Linked DNA regions of Danio rerio. The main gene of each other region encodes a partner of the protein of the gene in region 2 in a complex. Links are inferred from orthologs where the notes say so. Each region holds a gene or a part of one and is shown on either strand. Other genes may lie near its edges.

Region 1 (3,110 bases), on a different chromosome or scaffold from region 2:
TGCATATGTTTATCTATCTTACCAATTGCTGCATTCAAATCTGACAACACAAAAATCAAGAAAGAGATTGAGTCTTTGGTCTTTTGAGTTAGTTATGGAGTTACAATCAATCAAATAACACAGAAGTACTGGGATAACAGTTTATAGTTTAGAATAAACCACTGATGTTTATGGTAAAAATTAAAATTAACGTCATATACATTTAACTTGACGCTCAAAAATAAAGGTTGTAAGCAGTAATTACATTATTTAACCAATAGGTTGAATTCAACCAGCCATCAAAAATATGCCACTGAATAATAATAAAAAATGATCCATCTAGCAATGAAACATGAAGTTTTATGAGTAAATAACAAGCATTTATTGAAAACGAGACTAAAAATAAATATGGGTTGTACAAATTATAATGTTAGATTTCTACATTTAGTGTCATCAGCAACAGTAGCAGAAATTGTGAATCTTTCCACAGTACTGAATATTTTACCATTTATTTATATTTAGCTAATTATTTCTTCATTTTTTTTTTTTATAAATATAAGGGTTCTTACTTTTGTTTTTTTGAAACCAAATGTTTCTTGCAGTGCAGTTTTTGTAATAAAATGGAAAAGAAATGACATTTGTCTCCTCCCCTTTTTGGCTAGTCCGATCTGTGACTAAAAAAAACATTATATGATCCAAACCGTAAGATTTGTGATCTGTTACATCACTAATTATTAATAAAATGCACAAAACAAAAGCTACATATACTTAACTTTACCATAAGATCTTTAATTTCTCACTTTGGGAAAGTTTCATATGACATGACATACAAAACTACACAAATTCATGACAAACTCCCAAAAACCTTCCCAAATGCGTGTCTATCCACCACTCGTCCCAGTCTGGTAGAAAAGTACATGGTATTAGAAGTGCTGTAGCGCTTTAACCGAAGAATTGATTCTCCCCTGGAGTCTCCTGAATCTCCCAGAGTCACAACATCTGAGACGGGTACATAAATGTCTCTTCTGTGACCCCAAAAGCTAAGATGTGACACCTTTAATATGGTCTGTGTTGAATCCAAATACATCATGCCAACCACTCTTCTGACAAAGTGGCTTATGGAGTACAGCATGACTCCAGCAAACAAGGCAATGCCTATTGAGCGATTTAAGACCAACACTGATGCCTGGCCCTGCAGGTGGAGGTAATACACAGTGGGCAGCAGGACAACAGTGATGCCCGTCTGTAAGAGTTTGAGTCTTGAAAGAGCCCGCAGGCCCCTGATTAGTGGAAATGCATAGATTAGACTGTATTTTCTTGAGGCAAGGTCAGAGGAGAATGAGGCCGGGTGAATCCGCGTGGTGTGTGTGGATGTGTTGGGCATCTGTTTACCCATGTGTGCCAGGCCGTTGTTGATGTTGTATTGCATGCGAGCACTTGAAATAAGTCCTGAAGGATGGCATCGAAAGCCATATTGAGGGAAATGACGGGAAAGGTGGATTAATCTTGTTGACATCATCATCTGAGGAGACAGTAAGCATCACAACAGTAGTTATTATTAATGTTAATTATTAAAACAACACAAAATATTTTGATAATGTAACCATCATGACTATTGACTATTTGACCTTGTTTATTATGTTGATAAAAACAGTGCTTGACAAAGGCAGTTGTTGTGTTGGCTCAGATTATGCGTTCCAGCTTCTTATATGCGATAATCATAGAAAATACATAAGCATAATTAAATAACGCGCATTATTATTAAATATTATTTCAGTTTTGAATGAACTCACCATGTCCATACAAGTTCAGTGCATCGCGCACTTCTTCTGTGAAGCTGGACATGAGTTATATTATGTATCGTTTCAAAATAAAAGTCCTTAAATCAACGCTTGTCAAAATCGTTTTTGAAACAAGTTGTTAAAAATATTTTAGAGACATGGAATCTACGTGCACTTTTTGTGAATTAGAGAAGGAATCGATAAAACACCTGTTTGTTGAATGCACATATACCCAAATATTTTGGTTTGATGTTGAACATTTTATATTTAAACTTACTAAATTAAAAATTCAGTTTTCTTGTAAAAATATTTTTTGATATTCAATAATAACAACTAAACCTTGGAGCAAAATTTGTTTATTAATTTAATGATAATATATGGGAAGTACCATGTACACAAACAAAACTGATCCAATGATAAGCCTAATATTTATTTGTTTAAAACTTATCTTATGCATATTGAAACCCTACAAGACATAACAAATAAAAAAGCTATAAGAATGTGTGCAATTCTGAAATAATTTTTCTTATGCAATTTTTTGTAATTTATATATCCCTTATATATTTATATATACATATATCCCGTAATTTTATTTATTTTTTATTATTATTATTTACTGATTTGTTCCTTTGATGTGAAAAAGTAAGCATTTTATTTCTCATTTTGCATGACATTTTCCTTGTTATTAATTATTCGGTGTCATTAATATTTAATTAAAGTGAAAATAAAAACAATTAATAAGCATTTATATATTATTATTCGACACGTTATTTCTAATTTTGGCAAAAATTTTAGCATTAAAAAACAATTGATTGTTTCAGTACCATAAAAGTGTCGTGGGTAACATCAAGGGTGCGAATTACAGGGGGGTTGGAGGGTGGGGGGATTGACCCCTCATTAACACTTCTTTGTCCCCCCTGAAGGACATTAAAACAAGATGAATAGGGGGGGTCAGCTCTTTAATAGCTCTTTAATTAAATATTGAAAATAAAAAATTTATAACATAATAAATATACCCTTATAATGGTTCATACCATGTGTGAAAATATAATCGCCCCAATCAATACTAAGAAAAAATATCATTCAACAACAGTCTGAAACTGGCACCGATAGACATCTCAAGTTTTCACAAAACACTTCTTGTAAAATAGTTGTATTTTGACCTTCAGCAACTTCTAAAAAATCACTAAATATCAATACACTGAAAGCGTATACATTTTAATAATAAATGAGGTGTAATTTTAGTACATTAATACATTTGATTCACTGAAGAATGTATTACCAAACTACTATCAAAAAAGTTGACCCATTCGTTCGTCAATGTATAATTCGCACGCTGGTAACATCAAT
Region 2 (3,663 bases):
ATGTCTCAAAGGAAATCAATTTTCAAATAAATTGTGCATGATTGTTTTTAAATATTATATGCAGTAAAAACTATTTTCAACGCAACATGATTGTATTTAAATCCTTAATAATAATTTGGAATGACTAGTAATTAATAAATACTGCAATGTTTAATAATAATATCAATTGATTCTTTAAAAATCTCCATTCCAGATTATGTTTTAGCATCTGATTTTTCATCAGGTTGAAGAAGAAATTGACCCTGAGATGATCTGCCCAGAGCAGAGTCTGTTCTTCCCTCAGCGAGTAGAGCTTGATCTGAATGTAGACATGGGTGACGATCACAGTTTCAATGTAGATGAAGGTGAGACTCATACTGCTTTATTAACTTAAACTTTACACGACAATGATGTAGCCAAAAATGCAAACGTTTTACCCTTGCGTTTTGAAAAAGTTCCACTTCATGTCACAATCTTTACATAGCAGCAAAAATGCTGTATTATGTACGCCAGGCCTGTAGTTTGTGCTATCACCTTGTTGGTAAACCGTACCTGTAGGGAACTTACAATGCACAGGCACTTGTGTGTTATTTGCTGTGTGTGTAAGATGGGTCTCCACTTTTGGTTGTAATGTGTAGTAAATCCGCACTGAAGTGATAGGATAGCAGATGAAGTGGTAGGATACACTAGAGAAGCAACAATACTACCATGTACTCTTTATCTATCATGTAATTTTTTTTTTTTTTTATATATTTTCCAAATGATGTTTAACAAAGCAAGGAAATTTTCATAGTATGTCTGATAATATTTTTTCTTATTTGTTTTATTTCGGCTAGGATAAAAGCAGTTTTAAATTTTTTTAAAACCATTTTAAGGGCACAATTATTAGCCCCTTTAAGCTATATATTTTTTCGATAGTATACAGAACAAACCATCGTTATGCAATAACTTGCCTAATTACCCTAACCTGCCTAGTTAACCTAATTAACCTAGTTAAGCCTTTAAATGTCACTTCAAGCCAGGGGTCACCAAACTTGTTCCTGGAAGGCCGGTGTGTTGAGGCCAGTTGGAGCTAAACCCTGCAGGGACACCGGCCCTCCTGGATCGAGATTGATGACCTCTGCTTTAAACTGTATAGAAGTGTCCTAAAAATATCTAGTCAAATATTATTTACTTTCATCATGGCAAAGATAAAATAGATCAGTTATCAGAAATGAGTTATAAAAGCTATTATGTTTAGAAATGTGTTGAAGAAATCTCTCCGTTAAACAGAAATTGGGGAAAAAAATAAACAGGGGGCAACCAATTTAAGGGGTCTAATAATTCAGGGAGGCTAATAATTAGCATTTCAACTGCACCAGGGGCCCTCAACCTTTTTACCACTGCAGACCGGTCAACGCTTGACAAATTTACCACGGACCGGAAGGGTGGGTGGTGGGTGTAGCGGTGTTTCATAGGTTGTAGGTTGCTAGGCGACCATCAACCATTTTCTCAGAGGATTGACAAGCTGAAAAAACATTGCTGCCACTCTGATACAAGTTTTATTTATGGAAAACGATTACAAAGCACTGCAGTGTTTGAGTGTTCTGTTTTTGACTGAGATAATTAGTCTACCGAAATGTGTATATTCCATACAAGCTGAAGCCAATCGGTCAATTCTTGTCACGTGACTCGAGGTGTGCTCGAAGAATTCATTCGATTGTGTGTCTGGAAGGCGCAAGTGCGTCATGCTGCTTGTGCGTGCAAACTGCACACCTCCATTGGAAACAACGAACTTGTGTGAACTCTAGATAAGATGCGATATGCGAACGGCTGCTAACAGGCCACCGTCAATTGCGATCTGCAGTAGTTGATCTTGCACAGACATAGTGGATTCACCTGATTTGTTGGTAAATGGGTTGTGGATCTATTTCTTGGCAGTTTGCAGGTCCTTCACTGGGCCTTTTTCCTTTAGCAAAAAAACTTTCCAAAAACGTCTGTTTCTTACTCATTTTGCTGCTTGTGGGTTAAATTTGGGCCGAGAAGTAAGCGAAAGAATACGGTCATTTTTCAAAATAAAAGATCGATCAGACTAAGATAATAAATAAATTGAAAATACTGAATGCTTTCTTGTGCGACCCGGTACCAATTGATCCATGGACCAGTACCGGTGGTTGAGGACCATTGCTATATACTATATATATCATTCTATATATACTAAGACTTTTGTTTTCTGGTGTTTACAGAATCACAACAAAGATAGCTTTTTTAAACGCTTCTGTGTTGAAACCTGTTTTTCTGTGCTTTCAGTCCCTAAAAAAATGTTGTCATGTAAACAAATACACAAAACATATTGACCTTATTCTTGATTCAATTGGCTGCACCTGCTCATACGCGCAGAATAAGGTCAGAAGATATTTCCCATCTTTGATTTGTTGCCATGTAAATGGCCTCTTTCCTATTACGCTAATATATTTGTACATGCTTTATATTAAAATGGTATTCTATTGATTTATGAACCTGTTTAATATGTGTATCTACAAAATCTATAAAAAATGTAATTATCTAATAATATGGAACAATTCTGACCCGATTTATTAATTCCAAGAAGCACTGTTTTACAGACCTATTATACTGACTGACACATATGCAGCTTCTTCCCCAACTGTTTACATTCACAGACACAACCAACATTGTGTTAAAACTACATAACCTTTTGTGTATGTAAAAAAAATAATAAAATACTCTATGCAACAAGTCATCTGAAGGCCAAATTCTGTGTGCATACTTTGTATCTATGTGCTTAGTAACAGAGTTAAATCAGCAAGGCTTTAAAGTACTTATGAAATCAAACTAACCATATTGATTTAGTTAGCTCAGATTGCTAATTTGGTGGTGAACAATTCATCTGTGCATGTCATTAATCTAAAATTAAAATCTGTAAATGCACGTCCTTTTTGTTTTCAAATAAATTCTCAGATTATGTCTGTTTGGGGTATTGGTTGGAGGGGCGTGGTTGGGGCGTTAACCCACGCCCCTTCAACTGTTAACAGCACCATGACAACAAACAGAAATAGTGAGGAGAGGTGTCTGTTAGGTTGTAATAACTCTCCCGAAACCTTTTTCCAGATCTTTCTGAATAAAAAGCCTATTTTACTATATCCAATCAGCTTGCAGTAGAAAAAACAAGCCACGCCTGCTGTTTTCTAATTTAATATTCAGTTTCTTTAGGAACTGGCACGATACAAACCAAAAGAAAATGGTTGCAGCTTTTGGTTTATGTGGACTTTAAAACCCGCACAGATGTTTTGTTTGTTGTTGTCAGAGTAACTGAGGCACAAGCTGTGAAGGCCCTCTTCTGGAAAGGGGGCGGGGAGAAGCAGCTCATTTGCATATAAAGTAATACACACAAAAACATGGCATTCACAGCATGGAATAATAAATCATCCGTGAAACCTGAGGAGTCTTAATAAATCTCTTAATATGATTATTAATGGAATTGTTTGCATATCACCTAATTTTAAGCAATGATTTCTGCTGATTTGTTTCTGCAGTGGAAGAGGGGGCAGTTTATGCTATGTGTATGGCCGGCCAGGGTGACCAAGCCACTCTGTCTCAGTGGATTTCTGGTCTTCAGGAGACCTGTCCCATATTGGGCCAGATTCCTACAGTGTTTCGACTGGAGTCTGGACCTAGAGAACTGCA

What was found.
Region 1: ecsit (region 2) and tmem186 share a complex: the UniProt entries of both Homo sapiens proteins name them as parts of the mitochondrial complex. The link is inferred for Danio rerio from reciprocal best matches to the Homo sapiens genes ECSIT and TMEM186.

Annotation. Positions count from the first base shown.
Region 1 is NC_133197.1:27,568,184-27,571,293, reverse strand, and holds tmem186 (transmembrane protein 186), read right to left. Parts: upstream 1,805-3,110; 5' UTR 1,782-1,804; coding exon 1,773-1,781; intron 1,684-1,772; exon of another isoform or gene 1,608-1,683; intron 1,502-1,607; coding exon 824-1,501; 3' UTR 619-823; downstream 1-618. UniProt on the Homo sapiens protein: As part of the MCIA complex, required for efficient assembly of the mitochondrial complex I.
Region 2 is NC_133182.1:17,776,943-17,780,605, reverse strand, and holds part of ecsit (evolutionarily conserved signaling intermediate in Toll pathway, mitochondrial), read left to right. Parts: intron 1-223; coding exon 224-344; exon of another isoform or gene 345-3,044; intron 3,045-3,105; exon of another isoform or gene 3,106-3,512; coding exon 3,513-3,663.